Coturnix japonica: one gene and its partner. The protein of the gene in region 2 purifies or fractionates together with the protein of the main gene of each other region. This does not show direct contact. Links are inferred from orthologs where the notes say so. Each region holds a gene or a part of one and is shown on either strand. Other genes may lie near its edges.

Region 1 (9,786 bases), on a different chromosome or scaffold from region 2:
TCATAAAAAAAAAAGTAATCAGATGCAATGCGAGAATAAGCAAATGGGAGAAATAATTATCAGGGAGGGAAAAAAGAATAAAGAGCAAGCCAGATCCTCTGGACTATCCTTATGGCTTTGTGCCATCACAGTAGTATAGTAGTAGGAAGAAAGCCAGCTATGGGAGAGGATAAAGGCACTGCAGAGACTCTTGCCATTCTGCATGCCTACATCAAATCAAGATGGGGGGGAATACTGGGAGAGAGGACCCACTGATGAGAGCTGCCCTCACCAGATACATTGAGCAGAAGGAAAGGAATGTGGAGAGGGACACAGAGGGGGGAAGATCCCACGGAGTTTTCTAGTGTCCCCATTGCTCCAATCTTCTGCTGATAGTGGTTCAAGTGGATGAAATGACCTGGTTCATTAGGGTTTGATTGAAAGAGACTGATGGAACAACAAAGAGTTCCATGGACAATTGAATATTTTCCATCTCTCTCTTTACTTCAAAATATTGAAGTTTTGAAAGTGAGATGCTGAGAGCTGCTGTTATATTTTCAGCTGTATCACAGTGGACATGCTTCCTGGTCTTTTCTCTGCCTCAGAAAACTCAGTCTCTTCAATTTGTGCATCCTGTACGCATGAAGTTTTATCAGTTACTACCTAAACATGCTGTATATTTCTCAGCCTAAATAGCAGTCGTAAAGTGATTTTCTGCTTAAATGTGAGTGACCAATAATTCATAAATGCAGAATAAAATTCAAAGCTGCATTTTTCTAATTCTTGTTTTGACATCTAACAATAATTGAGCATTTAATTTCCATGTTTTTAACTGAACAAAAAAAAAAAAAAAAAAAAAAAAAAAAAAAAAAAGGTGAAACTTGCCAGAGACAGGATCTCAGTACAGCTAAATAAATAAATAATAATAATAATTTTAATTGATCCTTCAATTAAACATTTTTAAATAGAAACTTGGCTCAGGTTTCTCCAACTTCACAGATTTTGATTGATGTATCTGCCCTTGTAGCAGACACTCTAAATCAAGAGGCCTTAACAGAAGTGTCCTTAGCTATAACAGCCTGATGGCGCGACTGCCTGTGCTGAAGAGCTGCACCCCAGTGTATCTCACTGAGCAAGCTGTAAGCTTCTGTAGGAGTTAAGATTCCTTTGGATATGCCCAGAGCTGTAAATAGCATCAGCTTTTAGAAACCACACAAAGCCAGACAGGGAAAACAGTTTAACACTCTAGCTTGGGGTGAAGGGTAACACTGGAGAATTGCCTCTGACTTTGGAAGGGTCAGGATTTCACCCTGTGTGACCCAAACTTAAAAAGTCTTCCAAAGGATTTTGAATCATACAAAACTGTGCAACTTTTAACATCTGAGGACCAAACACATTTCTTTGGAAGGTCAAAAGGATGAATCTGGGAGCAGTTGACTACACTGCCTTCTTCACTTCGCAGGTGGTAATTGAGTACTGTGTTCAAATTTGGGTCAGTTGCAACAAGACTTCAAGGCCACGGAGCACGTCCAGAGAAGGGCAGTGAAGTTATGAAGAGTCTGGAGCACATGCCTTATGAGGAATGGCAGAGAGACCTGGGATAGTTTAGTCTGGAGAAGAGGAGGATGAGGGGAGACTATACGGCTCTCCACCAGTACTTGAAAGAAGGCCGTGGTGAGGTGGGAGTCAGCCTTTCTCCCAGATAATAGTGATAGAATGAGAGGTAATGGCCTCAGGTTGCACCAGGGGAGGTTCAGGTTTGAGATAAAAAAAATCTTCTCAGGAAGAGTGGCAAGGTACTGGAACAAGCTGCCCAGGGAGATGGTGGAGTCATCATCCCTGAAGGCGCTCAGAAAAAGGGTAGATGTGGCAATTAGGGACATGGTTCAGTGAGCATGGTGGGAATGGGTCTTGTTTTTTTCCAGCCTTAATGATTCTATGATTCTAAGTGTCTCCTTTAAAAAAACTTCCACCTCTACAATCACAAAGTCCTGGTCATGAGACAATAAAAGCCATCTCCCTCAATTAGTTATCCTTAACTTTAGCTTTGGCCAGAGGTTACTCATCAAAAATAAAATCTGGGCCCAGATCTTAGTGATTCAAACCCTTCACTCGGTGCTGGAACCCTTCAGCACTCCCATGATTTTTTTTTGGCACTGGGAGTTTATGACCCAAATTCCGGGACACTACCTGCCCCCATCCTACCCCTGTCTGAATTAGGCTATTCACTGTCCTTCTCCCCTGTGCTTCCAGCACTCTGTTTTGGAATGCCTGGAAGAAAAAGGTGTGATGCAAATCAGTTTAGAAAAGGGAGTAAAGTGATGCCAGGAGCGTGCAATGTGGCCAGCAACCTTCCAGCATGACAAGAGGCACTGCTTGCACAAGATCTGCATTCTTTAAGTGATTTTAATGCATTGTGTTCTCTTAATTACTGAGTTATTAGTCATTGCGAGAAGTCAACACACGCCAGCAGATAGGAACCCACCTAGCTGACACTGGAAGCTCATTAGCAGCAGAAAGATATATTGTAACTGCACATGAAATAGGAAGACCTGGCTGACTGCTGTGCTTTTAAGTACAGGTGAAAACGTTGCTGGGATTATTTAAAAACGAGACAGGAAGAGACAATAAAGCAAGTTAGCTCCCAACAACTCATCAGCCAGGAGCAAGGTGGACTTTACGTGCAGAGAAAGCTGCAGGGATGGCCGCCGCTGCCGGCCATGGGACGCGGGCGCTGCTCACGTTGCCGATCAGCCCCCCACCCCCTCCTCGTTCCTACTGTGTTCCCATCCCTATCTCTGCCCGCTGGGCATCACGGGCTGCACCTCTGCCCTTGCCACGAGTCGGGAAAAGCACAAAACCCCACGATTGACGCAGGGAGAAACTTTTCCTTCTAGATGTGGAACACCAGAAGCATGGCTTTAAATTCCCTTAAGAAGGGGGAAATATTTGGGGCTGTCATTACCTCCGTACCCACTACCACGTATTTCGCTGCCTGTCGTCGTGAGCCCATGCAAGTTTATATAACAGAGCCGAGCTGCCCCCGGCTGTGATGTAAGGGACGGGGCGGCGGCACAGAGCAGCAGACGGGGGTTCGCCCCACTCGGTGCAGTGCCACCCCAAAGCAAACTCGCACCGTCCTCTGCTGCCCGCGCGGACGTGCAACGGGGGGGGGGGGGGGGAGTGGACGGACGTCACCGGGGGGGCGGCAGACTCGTGGAACAAAGAAAAGAGAGCAAAGAAAGTTCGAGCTGTGAGGTCGCCCTCTCGTCTGCGCCTCGGCCAAGAGACCCGAGAATCCTTCAGTTTACCCCCCCCGCACCCCGCCGCCTCGTCCTTCCTCCTCGCTCCTCCCGCCCCGCCCCGGGCTTCCCTTTAACGCGCGCTCCCGCCGCCAGCTCTGCCCCCTTTTCCTCCCCACACCCTCTCCGAAAGCGCGCGCACGCGCACCCGTCCCCCCGCCCCTCCCTAAGCGGCCGGGCTAATTGGCTGCCGGGCGCGCGCGCGGTGCTCGGGGAGGGGGCCTGGCGGGAGCGCGCGCGGAGGCGTCGGCGTCGGGGACGCGCGCGCGGCGACAGCGGCTTCACTTCTGTTCGGGCAGCGGGGGCAGGAGCGGCGGCGGTAGAGGCGGTGCGGGCAGCGGCTGCCGTCGCCGTTGGGCTCGGAGGGGGGAAAAAGGGCAGAAAGAAGAAAGGGAGCTCAGCGGGCGGGCGGCAGGCAGCGCGGGGCGGGCTCATGACTCAGTGAGCGGCCGCTGCCCCCCGCCAGCCCCTCGCCCGGCCGCAGCCGGGGCCGCCGCTACGGATCGTCCCGCCGTCCGCGCCCCGCAGCAGCCGGAGAGCCCCGCGCACAGGTAGCGGCCCCCCACCCCCGTGACCGACCCCCCGCGACCTCCGGCCCCTGCCTCCATCCCCGGCACCCCTCCCCCGCCCCGCCTCCGGCCCCATCCGCCCCCGGTGCCCTCTAGCAACTCTTCGCTCTCCGTTCGCAGCTCTCTCCCCACTTCCCCCTCCCCCCACATCCCACCCCCGGCCCCCACCGTCAGCACTCCCCCACCCTTTACCCCTCGGTGCCCCCTGCTGTGCCCCGACGCAGCCCTCCCGCAGTCCCCTCCGCGTCCCGGTGCGAGTCGGGCCGGGGCGCCCACCCGTGTGCCCCCTCCCGTGGCCACGGGCCCGCGGTCAGCTCTGGGTGATGAAGGTGAGGATGACGCTCTCAGCCTGCCTTCGCACTCGGGAAATCAGGACCGCAGACGGAGGCTTCCCCGCGGACTAGACTCCCCCCCCCCCCACCTCCACTCTCCCCCAGTCCCCCGCGACCCGCCTGGATCCCTTGCTTCGGCCGCAGGGTTTACGGGGGCACTCCTTGTCTACGTGTTTGTTTTCCCTTCTGAGAAGGCGGGGAGGTAGGGAAGTGCCCGGGGCTGACTGTGACCGAGGCAGCTCCTCCGGAGCTCCTCCGTTTACAATCCCCACTCTTAATCCCAGCCCTGCTGAATCATCCCGGGGAAAGCAGGCGGGCTCCCGGTCTCTGCCCTCCCGTTCCCTTTCGAGACGTGGGGCGAGAGGTCGAGACCCCCGAGCAGGACATCCCCACGCCTTTCTAACCCCGTTGGCACGCTGCTGCTCTCGGCTCCGAGCAGCGCCCAGTGCTTCCCAACCCGCTCGTGGCACCGAGATGCTTTCCCAGCGCTGTCATCCTTCTCTCGGTGTTTTTTTTCCATTCTCTTATTTGTTCATCTGTTTGTCTGCCTCCTGAGTTTGAGTTGAGAGTGTGTGACTTGGGGCCCTTTGGAAGGCGCTCGGAGCGGGGCACGGAGCATCCTTAGATTCAAAGATTCCTTTAGAGCAATCCTCTAAAATTGCGGCTATAGGGAGGAGAGAGCTGGGGAGAGCGCCCGGGGGTGTCACGGAGCGAAGGGGGGAAATCAGAAGGCAGCCAGACATCAGATGACAGATTCAAGCATTTTCCTGCTGTAAATGCTGGCATTACATGTTACAGTAATTATATGCTCAGGGCTACTGTTACAATGTTTGTCTGCTGGATAGTAACCTGAACTTAACCCAGCAATGCAGTTGGTTTGGGATAATAGTAATATTTATAGCCAAGATTATTTGCAGCAGATGTCCCGTGCATGCAGGCTTCGTTAAATAGGTTTTTAACTGTCTGGCCTGCAGTGTTAAAGCGTGTGTGTGTGTACATCAGGAAGGGAATTTTCTCTTGAAAATGAGATGTGTTAAGCAAAGTTCAGAACTAAAATCTAAAGTAAATAAAGGCCATCAAAAGTGCTATTGAGAGAGATCAGGTGGTATTTTCGCTGTATGTAGAAGCAAAGAAAACAGGTGCCTACAACCAAAATTGCACTGTCGTTATTAAATGCATATTTTGACTTGTCAGAATATGGTGCTTCTGTGCTCTATTACCTCCCAGTCTTCTATTTGTTTTATCTTTACATCTGACAAGCAGGAGATAAATACAGAGGCATTAACCCATGTAAATATGTTAACTGTGCTCAGTATCATCCTGTAGCTGTACCGCAGGGAAGGTTGTTCTGCTAAGAATGAACAATTTCTTCCTTTAATTTTAGGAGTCAAACATGCTGTTATTTCAGTTGTTTTATGCAGTGAAGTGTAAATTTGTTTTATATAAATTTATGCGAGAAAATAAGTCTCAAAACCCACCATTTTCAAAAATTGAATTTGAACGTAGCATAAACTGAACAAGGCGGAACTGATCCCATATCCATCGCTTGCTATTTCTTGTAGCATCTAAATATGTTGAACATCTCAGGCTTTCAGGGTCTCCTTTCTGTTTAGCTTCAGAAATTAAACCAAAAAACCCCCACCCTTAGTCTTCTCCCTGGAGATTATAATTGTATGATCTCCACGGTGAATAGTTTGGCTCTTAAACTGGGATGGTGTCTGTACCCAAGTAAAAGGGAAAGCAAGTGGAAGTTCACAGCAATTTAAAACTCTGCAGCAGATTCTGGATTTGGTCAGATTCAATCAGAAAAGTCGCTCCGATTTGTGGGATTGTGTGGATGTGAGTGAGGGATGTTGAGGCCTGTGTACCTTGAATGTGGCTCCTTTGCTCTAGAGGAGGGCAGATAACGTGCCCATATCAGCCCCATATTTGGCCCTTAGATATATTGAGGGTTTAGTTTGTTGGTTTGGGGGTTGTTTTGTTTTTTTTTCCAGTTTTCCAGCAGTCATTGCTACCACGTATGCCAATTTATAGACAGTTTTACATGGATGTCTGCTCTTCATTAGAATGCTTTAAGAAGTCCTAACAGCTGTAACTCCTCGTCTGCCATAGTGTTATACTACTTAAAATGAAGGAAACAGTGAAAATAGCTAACTGGTATCAGAAGTGTGTGTGTAAACTGTGACCTCGACTTCTGGAAGCATGTTGGGGTTTCCTGTAGCTTGTGTTCCCTGACAGCTTTGGTGCCTCATGGCAGAGGATACTTTGTATCCCCTCCCAGGATACTTACTGCTCTAGAAGCATTGCATTTAGTAAACACAAACAGTTCTGTGTTAGTGCCTTTTGGTTCTGCAAGCGTTTCCATCCAGTGTGCCAAGATGTGGAGTTTGTAATGTGGAAACCCATGTTAGAGACTTGGAATGAACTCACAGGTTTATTTCATATGGGATAGCAGAGTCTTCAGATAGCAGTAGCTCTGGGTTTTTAACAAACGATGTGAAATGTGAGCTGGTGGCAGAGTGATGAGAAAGCTAACTTATGATATGACCAAGGGGTGGGAAAATCTCTTTTATGGCACTGGTGTAGTACTCACACAATCGTGTTTTGTGCTTAACTGCAGTAACTTGTCATTATCATAAATAACAAATCTGTCCTCTCTTCATATATATTTGTTATGGAATTTGAAACGACCAACTCCTGAATTATTGTTAAGATGTTTATGGCAAAACTCTTCAGTACTAAGATGACTGAAGTGCTGTAATGCAAGTGTTTCAGTATAGAGACACGGATCTTGTGTGTTATTTCCTCCTGCAAGAAATACTGTCTGACATCTTCTTCTGGGAAAGCTGACCTTCGTTGTTTGTGTTTGGTTCAGTGCAGCATCTGCCATGTCTACAGAGGGGCAGAGAGTTGATGACAGTCCGAGCACTAGTGGAGGCAGCTCTGATGGAGATCAGCGTGAAGGCGTTCAGCCTGAACAAGAAAGGGAGCAAGTTCAACCCAAGAAAAAAGAGGGCAAAATATCAAGCAAAACAGCTGCTAAACTGTCAACTAGTGCTAAAAGGTACAGTGTTCTTCTGTCTTTTTCTCTTCCTTTCTTGTTTTTCAGCTGGCCATCAGATGTTATGTAATGGTTCGGTATATTCATTTTCTTACTGTTTTATTGTAGCACTACTGTGTCAGTGTAATAGTCTTCTGAGGCTGGTCACGATAACGAGACCTGTATATTTTTTTTCCTTTCTTTGACAAATTGGCTCTTTCACATGGTTTTAATAGTAGCCTGCATGATAAAAGCTGACATTTTTTTATTGCTAGTAAAACTCAGACAGTTTTGTAGCCTTATAAAATACATCTCTGTATGTGTATGTATGACTGATGTTGAAACTTGTCAGTGTAACTTACAGTTAATTAACCATAAACATTTCAGACAGTTCAGTAACTCAGCATGTTAGGACTACCGTAATACCTATTGCTGTAAAGAACTGCATTCCCTTTTCCCAGATGGTCAGGTCAGAGACATTGAAGTGAACAACAAATGCATGTTGGTTTCATTACTTTAAACTGTGGTCTGTTTTAATACCTATTTCTTTAGCATCTCTTTACTTCTTGAGAGGAAAAGTGGATTTGTAGAACAGCTACTGAAATTATTCTCATGGAATTGTTTCTGTTGGATGGAATTCTTAAGGGTTATCTCGTCTAACTTCTCAGCCATGAACATGGACACCTACAGATAGATCAGAGTGCTCAAAGCCCTGTCCAGCCTGACACTGAACATTTCCAAGACATCTATATGGTCGTGTTCATTTCCAGATAATGACTGTCACGTTTGGTCCAGACCTGGGGAACTTAGTGCTTAGTGTTGCTCCATCAGTACTTACTGGTGTTAGTCCATATAGTAGAGCTCAGATGGGATAACAGTGGTTGTAGTTAAACACTTTTAGCAGAATCTGATGAGATCAACTGTGCAGACTGTCCCAGATTCTGTTTTTCACTAATTCAAGTCAGTGTGAACTGCAAGAAAAAACATTGGAGATGTGCTGCTGTGCGGGGAAAAAAAGAATTGCACATGGAGCCTTGCAAAAAAAAAGGAGAGACCCTTTTGCTGTGATTTATAAAATTCTCCTACGTGCCTACATCTCATCGAGGTTCCAGCCTATGTCTTGGTTTCTTCTGTCCTTTACTATCTGTGTGCTTCTCTGTCCTGGACTCACTTGTCTTTCCAGTGTGTTATTAGCATGCTTCTCTCCTGCCCCAGGCACCTCCCCATGAGGCCTTTGCCTTTTCTCCTTCCACAGCAAGATGCTTTTTCAAGACCCATTCCTAATATGATGCTGTGCGTAGATGACATAGTTGTATTGGTTATAGGATAGCCAACAGAGCGTGCCAAGGTTTCTTTTCACAACTAAAAGAAAAAGAAGTAATAAAAAAAGAAACAAAACCAAAAGCTTTCTCTTCAAGCCATAGTGCTACTCATTTAGTTAATTCCTACAGTTGTTATAGTTTCTGGACTTCTTCTCTTCTGCCTGCTTGCTGCTATTGTTTTTTAGTGTAAGAAATATTGGACTAGACAGGAATATAAAGGTCTCAAATCCAATTTTTAACATGTTAGAGAAGAGTCTGAACTTTGTACAGTGTCTAATGTGATGACTCCGTGATTCCAACAAGGGCCTGTGGACAGTATCCTATTAAAAAATTAATAATGATATGTCAGAAATTGGTCTATTAATCTTAGCTTTGCATCTTCAAAGCTTAGGGCTTTTATCAACATGCATTTCACAGTGATAAAATTACTTAAACCTTTTAAAGTTTAATCATATCTGCTTATGATTCTGCTGAAACTAATTATGCCAGTTGCTGACATCAGTACATTTGCTGGTTAGACTCTAACGAGAGTTTCACGTTTACTAATATTGAAGAAAAGCCTTTGATTACGCATTTTAAAAGCTGAGATGATTTATAAAAGTATAAGGCTTCTGTAGATAAGCGCACAATAAATAGCACTTTTGATAAATGTATTTTCAGGAGTGCTGGTTGTCATAAAACTGGGGAAGAATCACAGTGATATAGTCTTCACATGGTTTAGTTTTTATAGTTGTGTAATCTATTCAGTGGTTTTGTCAGCGTGTTACAATGAGGACAACGTTACTGTAAACATTCTTAATCTGATCTGGTATTTGTATTTAACAGGTTTTGTTTCTTTGCTTTTTGATTAAAAGCTGTAAAACCTCACAGAAGGAAAATCAGAAATTAGAGGATGAGGAAAATATGAAATTAAAGTGGAGGAATGAAAGGAGACGAGTAACATCAAAGAAGGGAAAATATATTATCACGTTCTGTGCCAATGATGTTGTTTTGTGTACTCAGTTTCTGTGATACCTTTTTCATCAGAAATGAATAATATTGTGAGAATAAGGCTATGCTCCTTCAATTGACTATAGTTTTTGACCATTATGGTTTTTTAAATGGAAACAAATTGAAGTAATTTTGCTGTCCTTCTGGAAGGGAAAAAAGACTGGATGTGTGTTCAGCAACTTTTTCCTTTGTTAGCTTTTGAATTCTGTAGTCTTCATGGCATTATACTGAGGTGACAGTAATCTTCACTTA
Region 2 (9,929 bases):
GACTCATCAGTTATGCCTTCCCGTGTTAGCCCCATGGAAAGTATTTATCTGTAAGTACTGTGATGTTTGTCATGATGCTTCCCCACATAACAGCATCTCCTTCCTGCCTACTTCTTGACTGTCCCTACTGTGGCCACAAGAGACCTCAGAGTGCACCACATTGCCCCTACCTGTCCTGCCCACTCTTCTCCAGGCTGCGTTCGCTACTGAAGTAACCTGTGGTCACCATGATGAGGTCTGTCAGCACTGCAATACACCAGGGCTGCTGCAAGAAGCAGAAAGAAACATGAAGTGGCAGCAATTGTCAGGCTGGCAGGCAGACACCACTGCAGCAGGATCCTTCCTTGCCAAGATCTTTCTCCTTCTAAACAGGGCCTGGAAGAGACACTGGTGCTGTGAACCAGTTCCAGCAGGACACAGAGACCTGTGACAACACAGGCACACTGCAGGACTGAGGGAGCCCCAGTCTGCCTGGGGTTCCACACCCACCTGCTTGGTTCTGCCACTCTCCAGTATCTGCTTGGCCAGATGCAGCAAGGACAATGGCACATTCAGCTCTTGGCAAAAGAGGTTCAGCAGCTCAGAGTCACAGCGGGTAGCCAGGAGATTTCCCACAACACGAAGCACAGAACGGAGATGGGAGGCTCCCTCAAGCATCCCTTCCAGCACCTGGGCAGCAAGAAGCCAAAAAGACTCATTCAGCAGCACTTATGGCCTCTCCATCAGCCATGTGGCTGCCTCCCAGCCTCTAAGGCAAGGGACAACAGTGGAACAGATGACAAATTGTGTGAGGCAGCTCTGATTCTTGGGGAAGCAGCAGGACTCCTTGCTAGCTGAAGCAAGGGGATCTCCCAGTGCTCCCAACCCAATCCCAGGAAAGAAGGCAGCATCCATGTCCCAGCCTCAGTCAGCTGGACAAGCCTTGTGACAAGCTCACTCACTTGCTGAGCAGATTCTGCAAGCCGGGCTTGGACACGGTGCCGGAAGGCTGAGTCCCTCAGGAGGCTCAGAGGTGTGCTCAGCTGCATGGCCAAGGGCTCTGTGGCCTCGATCAGGTGCTGCCACTCCTCATCACTCCCCAGCTCCTGACCACGGAGAAGAGAAAGCTGGTGCCAAAGATCCTGCCTGCCCCAGAGTCTATGTATCACGCCCTAGGGAGCGGGCCCTCATGTCCTTATCACAGGACACCGTCTTACCTCACTCTCCAGGTCCACAGCCTCAATGCTTTGCCTGCCCTCAAGCTCTGCTCTGCCAACACCAAGCTGCAGAGGTGCTTCTGGCTGGGGAAACTCCCGCTCATAATCTTGTGTGATGCTGTGCTCCCTGGCCAAGGAAACAGCCCAGTCAATGAGCTACCCCACTTTCCTCTCTTTTTCCCAGTCCCAACCTTCCCTCACCGTGGGCTGGGAGGAGGCTCCTCCAGTTGCCACTCTGACATGCTGTTCTTTCCTTGCAGGACACCTGAGTTCTTCTCTTGGAAGGATGCTGGTAGCTCCTTCCCCTCCTCAAGAGCTGCCTTTCCAAACGCTTCTCTGGGTTTATGTCTGGTGTGTCCTTTGCCAGAGTCCTTCATAGATGGAGTCTTTGCCTTCAGCTGCCCCTGGTAGATGGCAGAGAAGTTTGGTCAGGGCAGACTCAGTGAGAAGAGTTGCACCACACCAACGGCCCCACAATCCTGCCTCATATGTGGCCATTACACCAGCCTGGCCCACCTCCTGTCTTTCCCCTTGGTCCCATTTAAGAGCCCCTCTTTTGACATAACCATGGGTGCAGTCCAGAGAATCCCACGCTTTTCTCCACCTTTTTCTGTGCCTCCTCAGCCATCTTCTGCCGAGCCTTTCTCAGGATCCTGGACTGACCACTCCTAGGGGCCAGGGAATGGGCTTGCTGCTCTTTCAGGGCCTGTAGCTCTGGGGACAGCTTGGTGGTGAAGGGGTTTGAAATCCCATGCTCTTCTGTGTCATCAATCACTGAGAAGGCAGGAGCAGAATTTCAGCAGATCTTTCTTGAGACACAGGGAGAGCAACCAGCTCCGCAATGCCAGGAGAATCCTGAGGGACCCAGAGCAACCCCAGGGGCAGGAGCTAGGGGTTAGTGGTCAGTGCAAACTATGAGGAAGGAGGCAAAGACCAGGGTAGGAAAAAAAAGAATGGTAGGGTGGTATTCCCAGTCTCCAGGCAATAAGAAGGGGAAATGATCTGGTACGCACCAGTCACCCGTCCAGCAACAAAGGGGTGGGAGAGCAGCTCTGGCCATGACAAGCGCTGGCGAGGGTCCTTCATTAGCAGCCCCTGCAGGAAGCTCTACAAGGCAGCACAGTGCCAAGGACAGACACCACACATGCAAAAAACAAACAAACAAAAATGAATACAGTGCTCCCACTAGTCTCCCACAGAAAGAGCACTCAGGACTCCTGGGTTCTTTGGCTCACCCTGAGAAACACTTGGACTGGTGCTAAGACAAGGCTTTGCTCCTTACCTTGAAGGTTGGGCTTATGGCCTTAGGCCACTTGACAGGGTCCTTGACAATGAGGCTGACAAGCTGGAAGATGCTGCTTGTGTAGAAGGGAGGTTTGCCTGTGAACAGCTCATACAGGATGCAGCCCACAGACCACAGGTCTGCTGTGTGGTCATACGGCCGCTCCTCCACCAGCTCAGGGGACATGTACAGTGGAGTGCCCTTGATGGAAGTCAGCACCATGGTGTGGATGCTCATGGCACGTGCAAACCTGCTCAGAGCAAAACACAGGTGGACATTTCAGGCTAGAGCAGCCACTGCAGCTCCCAAGGAGACCCCGCGAGTCATCAATATCCTGTCCCTTCTGGAGCCCCAAATTCCCTACCCCTGCTAACCCCTGAATATGTGCAGAATGCAAGTCCCCTTCCACACCTCCCCTTCTCGTCTACAGCTCCAGGACACCCCTTGGAAGCCCCAAGCCTACACACCCATCTTAGCTGGTCACCCATACGCACCCAAAGTCACAGAGCTTGATGACACCATCTTTGCCCAGCAGGATGTTCTGGGGTTTCATGTCACGGTGCAAGATGCGGTGGGAGTGTAGGTAATAGAGAGCAGAGACCAGCTGGGCAGCTATGATCTGCACCTGCCAGAGACACAGGAGCTTCATTCCAGTACCCCAACTCTTGCCCTTGCCTTGTCTGGGGCAGGGACCAGCCCCAGCCTTGAGCCAGCAGCCCCTCCCTGGCAGAGGAGTGAGCCAAAGGCTGAGGCAGCAGCCATGTGTTGTGGCTCTTACAGAAGGAACAGGGAGGTCGAGGTCTATGGGACCACTATAACACACTGCCTGCAATCCGGCTGCCTTTTCATCCCCTTCAAAAACTCTGCCAGCCAAAGCTTCAAAGACACCTTCACCCCCTTGACGTATCCACTCTAACAGCAGAACCCTCTGCCTGCTGAAAAACCCTGTTCGCTCCATCCTGCAGTAAAGCCTATATGGCCAGTCACCTGGTCCTCGGGCAAACTGCCATCATCCTCCAGGATCTGGAATAGCTCTCCCTCTGCGTAGTCAGTCACCATCACCACCTGGAAGAAGGAGCAGCGTGAAGGCATTAAGCACACCCCCAGACACATCCCTGCTGAACCTTTAAGCTCTACTTATCCAGAGCACTGTAAGGTGGAATGATACAAAGATGGTAACGGAGATTCAAAAGGTTATTTATGAAGAAAAACGTCACCAATATGTATGGCTCCACTGGGAAATGCTGAGGCAATCTCCACCAGGGAGCAATCTCTAAGAGACGCTGCCTTAGTGGTGGTCAGCCCTTAAATGAGGTCTAGAGGAGGTGGAGTCAAGCTTCACCCCTTCTGGGAGCACAGCTAAATTACTCTCAACTGTGCTCCCACACCTGACCCGACACTTGGCTCAGCTGATTAATCAGAGGTTCAGGCTGTGATTACCAATGTCCCATATAAACACGCAGCAGAAGTCAGGGAAGTGTAAAGGAACAGGATAAGCATATAATGGTATTTCTGAGCCCAGTGGTAGAATCACTCCCTTGAGCATATTTTTTATCTACTGCCCAATTACTGGAGGGCTCAGACAAATATCAATCATTAGGCCGGGTCACAATCCTAAGTCTATTCCCTCATAAGGTCTCTCCGTGTCCATAGAGCAGGAGTTCCCAATTAAACCACCTGAGGGAGTAGAATACCTGGTGGCAGGTCTGCAGCACTCAACAAGAGTGGAGATACAGCTGGGCACTGAAAAAACCTGGTTAGATAGAAATGCTGCTAGAGCCCTGGAATATTGTCACCAGCATCTCCTGAGGCAGAGGTGACAGCAGATGACAGCCCACGCCCCCACCCCACCAAGCAAAAGTACCTGCCCTGCACGGGTCCCATTACCTCTTTATCAGTCTCAAAGCTGTCGAGCATCTGGATGATGTTAGGATGACGGAGACCTCTCATAATCTCAATTTCCCGCTGCAGATTCTTCAGCTCCTTCTCAGACCGCCCCACCTTGGGGATGAATTTCAGAGCCACCACCTTCCAAAGCAAAGCTGGGATCAGAGCAGTGTCCTGCCCGCGTTGGCAGGGGCTGCATTTAACCCAAGCGGGACTCATTATTTTCTAGGTGAACACACAGAACAAGACACGTTCATAGGGCCGGAGCAAGGAGTATAAGTACTCAGTACTCAGTACCTGAGCTGTGTGAGCAGGACTACAGGCTGTCTTCTAAAGGAAGAGATTATTGCCCTTTTCTTATTACTTTTAGGCTACAGTGGCCATTTTTTGGTCCAGAAGTGCACTGACAAACAGGAGCGGTCCTAGCTGGGGCACCAGGGTAGCAAGGTGGCTGATAACAGGGCATACAAGCTGAAACTGGGGGGGCTGAGCTTTATTAACCCGGTGTCTGGCAGGAGGCTTCTAAGATAGAGCCGGGCTCTTTATAGAGACCCATCTCTCTCCTCACCTGGGCGCTGCACCTCCGCCGCCCCTTGTACACCCGTCCGAAGGAGCCTTCTCCGATCACCTCCAGCACATGGTACCTCTCCATGGCGGAGCTCCGGGGTCGGGCCGAGGTTCCTCACAACACGGACCGACGATTTAAGGCCGCAGTATAACGCTGTTACAGGCCGTGGGGCCGCAGTACAACGCGGTTACAGGCCGCGCCGCCACATCGCCTAGCAACAGCTGAGGCCTTCCGCATCCGGGTCGGCCGTGAAGATGGCGGCGGCCGGCGAGGAGGCGGAGGCGGCGGACTGGTAATGGATCCCCCTGTCCCTCCCTGCCTTTCCCCGGGGCTGCTGCTTGTGGCTTCCTGACCGCTCGGTGCTCCGCAGGGCGCTGCCGGCCGAGGTGGAGGTGCTGGAGTCCATCTACCTGGAGGAGCTGCGGGTGGTGCGGGGCAGCGCGAGGTACGTACCGGGCCTCGCTCCCCGGCCCTGCTCCCGGCCGCCCCTTATCTCTTATCTCTGCCCGCCCTTAGGGCCGAGCCCTGGGAGCTGAGCATCACCCTGCACCCCGCCACGGCCCAGGACCAGGACTCCCAGTTCGTTCGCTGCACGCTGGTGCTGGCCGTGCCCCCCCAGGTAGGCTCCCATCCCGACCGGGCCCCTTGCTGCCCCTTATCTCTGCTTTTCTCGGTGCGTTTGGGGTTTTGTTGCTTGGTTTTGTTTTCTAGTATCCCAACGAGGCTCCGGACATCTCCATCAGCAACCCACGGGGGCTGTCGGATGAGCAGATCCAGAAGTGAGTGGGCAACCTGGTCTAGTAAATGTGTATGTTTGGTGGCCCTGCCAGGCAGGGGGGTTGGAACTACATGATCCTTGAGGTCCCTTCCAACCCGGGTCATTCTGTGATTGTGTGTGAGTGCTAAGAGGGAGGAGAGCAGAGTGGTGGTGTTAACAGTGCTGTAGAGCCTTCTCTTTATGCCTCTAGGGTGCCCTGTCAGCTTAACACATACATACAGCTCTCCAATCACCTTGAGTTAAGCTTTATGTCAGCTTTGATGCTGAGGAATGGTTTGTTCCCTTGTGGTCCACCTGAAACGTAAACTGAAGTCTCTCAGGCCTTCAGAGATGTTGATCCAGGTCTGACAGAGACATCACTGCAACTCATTTCAGTCTTCACACAGCCTGCTGCTGCCTTTGTGCTCCCGTTGTTGGTGCAGCAGAGATCCAGATACCAGTCAATGCACGGCATTAAAGTTGCTCCCACCAGATCAACAAAACCTTAGAGCACGGGAATATGTGCTTGCATCCGCGCTCATCCTACACTGTAGGCAAAGCCTGGTGGATGGCGTTCTTTTTATTTCTCTTGTTATCATGGTGGGGTGATGACAGGCGTGTGGAAGAGTGAAAAGGTGTGGCAAAGTTTGTGTTAAGTATTTGTGCTGCTTTGCTGTAGGATTTTACAGACCCTCAGAAATGTTGCTGAAGCCAGGCTGGGGACAGAGGTGCTGTATGAGCTGATTGAGGTGAGAGCTGGGGAGAAGGGAGGCAGCCAGATACGCACACCATTCTTTGACTCCCTTTGAGGTGGGAGAGCCCTGAGTCTGGGCCCATGTGGAGGCCAGTGAGAAAAATGCTTGCTTTTCTGCTTTGACAGAAGGGGAAGGAGATTCTCACTGACAACAATATTCCTCATGGCCAGTGTGTGATCTGCCTCTATGGATTCCAGGTAGGAATACATATTCCAGCTCTTCGTGCTGGCTGAGAAGTGAGTCAGATGAAGCCCAGTGGGAGAAGCTATGTATTTCTGCCATCAATAACATCCCTGCTGACATGGGAATGAAAACCCACCTCAGCTCGGTGCTGGGAACACCCTGTGAACACCCTTTTTCCTCCACAGGAGAGAGAAGCCTTCACAAAGACCCAGTGCTACCACTACTTTCACTCACACTGCCTGGCCCGCTATGCACAGCACATGGAGGAGGAGATTCTTATGCAGCAGGAGGAGAGAGAACAGCACCTGGCACCTTCCCCCAAACAGGTATTTGGCTTTGATCCCCTGCACAGGCCCTCATGAGTTCTCTGTCACTCCCTGTGGGATGTGGAACAAAGGCCAGCCTGACTCAGCAGCCATGTGCAGCATGGTTAGCATGGTGCCTGTGTTGAGAGAATCAGTGGAGATTGGACCAAATGAGCCCCAGGAGCCCTTTCCAATCATAATTAGAAACTGGAATCCCCCTGGGCCTCCCTGCCTTAGTAGAAAAGTGCTTGTGTTTAGCTGAAGTAGGCTGCCCTGTTTGTTTCACTTCCACCCTGGGGATTCTCTCGATGTATATGGGCTGGGCTGCTGCCTAGGGTTTCACCTCTCACCTCCCTGCAGAAAGTCGGCGTGCAGTGCCCTGTCTGCCGGGAAACCTTGATTTATGACCTCTGTGCCCTGAAGGCAGCGCCACCACCACAGCACCCACTGGTAAGAGATGGGGATTCATCTGCCTGGCTGTGTCCACTCTCTGGGTAGCTAAAATGTCATCTGGGACATTTTATCCATGAACAAACAGTGTCTGCTGGAGCTGATTAATGTGCTCTGCCAGTTACTCTCGGAAAACACACAAACATACAAATTCCATCTTGTGCTCTGTTCAGAGGGGGGACCACTGCAGCCCTTCTGTGTGATAAAGGCAGAGGGAAGCAAAAGATATGTAGCTGTTGCATATGGAGGCAGTGAGGATATGTAGTGTTGTTGGCTTACTCTCCAAAGCAAGCAGATATGGTGGGAGAGAGAGGCAATTCTGCCATCAAGTACTGAGTGCTTGATTTTCTATGTTCTCTCTGCTCTAAGAGAATAACTGTAGGTTTTCTTAAATATGTCCCTGTACCCACTGAGATGTTATCAGTTTCAGGTGAGTGACTCCAGCTTGTGTGGTGAGTTCTGGGGTTCTTCGTTTTTAGCTGCTCTGCATCTTGCTCCAAAGCAGGAGGCCCTAAGTCAGGGAATAGTGGGTGTTCCCTCTCTCTGTGTAAGTACTACACGTGAATCTGTAGGCTCAGTGGGTCAGATGTTGTAAAGACCAGTTGCTTGGGTGCTGTGTGATCAAATGAGGGTTTGGGGAGTTGCTCGTGGTGTTGTTAACTGACTACCCGTATAGACAGAGCCCTTAACCCCTCTTGCTGTCTGCCACTCAGGAGCCATACAGACCAGATGCCAAGATGCTGCAGCACCAAGAAGAACTGCGCTTAATTTTCAAGAAACAGCAAGAGAAAGGGGGCATCATTGATCCTGAAGCAGAGAAGAACCGTTACTTCATCAGCCTCCAGGCGGTATGGCACTGGGGGCAGAGAGCTGCTGAGCTCCACGTCAGCAAGGATGTCCCTGGACTTAAGGGCCAAACACTGTCATCTGCTTTGGGAGTGTCCTTTCCCTTTCTTAACTGTTGGCTTCTTTCTTTCAGCCTCCAGCTACTGTTGATCCAGGCCAGGTAGCTGCTGCCTCTGAGCCACTGGTGAGTGCTAGCGATGTGGACACACCTCAGGCATCCTGCCAGACCTCAGCTCTGGAGCCAGCTAGGGCTCCAGAGAGCACGGCAGAGCCTGGGCAGCCTGAGAGATCTGCTGTGCCCAAGGAACCCCAGAGCAAGAGGGAGAGGCACAGAGGGGAGAGACCAGGCCCAAGAGGCCAAGGCAGGCAGTCCTGCAGCAACTCACAGGAAGTGGCAGGGGAAGCCTGTCATCTGTCCCATGGCTCCAGGGTGCCCAGAGGCTTTGGTCAGAGACCAGAGAGAAGACCTGCTGGGAGGCGCTGTCAGGAGTTTCCAAAACCTCACAGCAGAAGCAAGGCAGCTGCCTTGGCTGAAAGAAAGGAGCTGTGCCCTGAAGATCCCTCACCAGCAGTAGATGCAGTGGACTTGAAAGAGGAACACCATAACATGGAAAGCTGGACCCCGGAGCAAGGTGCTGAGGCCCAAAGCAGGGAGAAGGAGAACCTGGCATTCAACCACAGCAATCACAGAGCAGCTCCTGGCTGGCAAGGCCACCACAGGCCCTGGGATTGCGGGAGGTGGGAAAGGTCCAGAGCGCAGGATCGTGGCTCCTACCACAGAGCACCAAGAGGGCGAGGAGTGTTCAGGCCCAGTGGACGTCGAGAAGCCCATTTTGGGGAGAAGGAAAGCAGTTCCTAGCAGGAGGGGTATGGGGCTGGGCTGGGAAGGGGCTGTTAATAAATGAGAATGGCAAAGGTTCTGGTAGAGCGGTCACAAGGAGTCACCATACAGCTTGGGACAGAGGAAGCACTTGGCACAGCTTGGGACAGGTGGAGTCTCCATGGTTCATGTAGAATGAAGCATAGGCTGCCTGGTGTGAGCAACTGGCTGTCACCACCACAGGAGAAGCTGACTTCTGACAGCTCACAGCAGCCTTGCTCCTGAAAGATGCAGGGGGCAGAGGAGGGCTTGACCAGGGACCAGCATGCATTCATCATCTGTTTTTGTGAGCCAAGAAACATGCGTACCTACAGAAACAAGTGGAACTAGCTTGGCATGGTGCTACAGCAGAGCTGAAGCCCTGCAGGACCTTCCCTGGAACGGAGCATGCCTGCAGAGCCATGATGGCACCAGGCGGTGAGGCTGTGCCAGGGCAGCAACCTGCAGCTCAGCTTGCTGCATCCTTTGGTGCTTCTTGGAGCACATTCTGAGCTGCTGTCCCCGCTCCTTAGAGATGACTTTGTTTCCTCTGTGGTGCAGACTGCTGCTCAACTCATAGGCTTGGCCAGGCAAGTCCTTTGTATATCATGACTCCTCCCAGCCTCAGCCAGAGCTGGATTAAGTTTAAGCCAATACTGAGGCAGGTCAGGACTGTCCAGTGACTGAGACCTGGTGCTGGCTCCTGCTCCCCCTGGAAGCTTGAGTTTAGCAGGAGCTTCTGCCCTGTCCTTCAGCTGCTTTCTTGCAGTTCCTTCTGCTGCTGTTTCAGATTCAGACTATGTCCTGCTGCAGAGACATGACAGGAATCCCAAATTTCTGA

The links. Proteins that work in one complex are often made in the same cells at the same time.
Region 1: the proteins of RNF25 (region 2) and ubiquitin-conjugating enzyme E2 E2 purify together in Homo sapiens (affinity purification with mass spectrometry; 3 studies listed by BioGRID and IntAct, counting the BioPlex papers as one, with this or other methods). This does not show direct contact. The link is inferred for Coturnix japonica from reciprocal best matches to the Homo sapiens genes RNF25 and UBE2E2.

Annotation. Positions count from the first base shown.
Region 1 is NC_029517.1:33,811,357-33,821,142, forward strand, and holds the start of ubiquitin-conjugating enzyme E2 E2, read left to right. Parts: upstream 1-3,530; 5' UTR 3,531-3,832; intron 3,833-7,057; exon of another isoform or gene 7,058-7,062; 5' UTR 7,063-7,070; coding exon 7,071-7,246; intron 7,247-9,786.
Region 2 is NC_029522.1:24,276,178-24,286,106, reverse strand, and holds the start of RNF25 (E3 ubiquitin-protein ligase RNF25), read left to right. Parts: upstream 1-5,132; 5' UTR 5,133-5,187; coding exon 5,188-5,225; intron 5,226-5,303; coding exon 5,304-5,378; intron 5,379-5,449; coding exon 5,450-5,552; intron 5,553-5,644; coding exon 5,645-5,712; intron 5,713-6,369; coding exon 6,370-6,439; intron 6,440-6,570; coding exon 6,571-6,642; intron 6,643-6,813; coding exon 6,814-6,954; intron 6,955-7,293; coding exon 7,294-7,383; intron 7,384-7,807; coding exon 7,808-7,813; intron 7,814-8,096; coding exon 8,097-8,231; intron 8,232-8,362; coding exon 8,363-9,088; 3' UTR 9,089-9,929. Other genes in the region: STK36 (serine/threonine-protein kinase 36), read right to left, coding at 171-265, 490-669, 942-1,085, 1,197-1,323, 1,398-1,600, 1,801-1,970, 2,210-2,303, 2,479-2,728 and 4 more. UniProt on the Homo sapiens protein: E3 ubiquitin-protein ligase that plays a key role in the RNF14-RNF25 translation quality control pathway, a pathway that takes place when a ribosome has stalled during translation, and which promotes ubiquitination and degradation of translation factors on stalled ribosomes.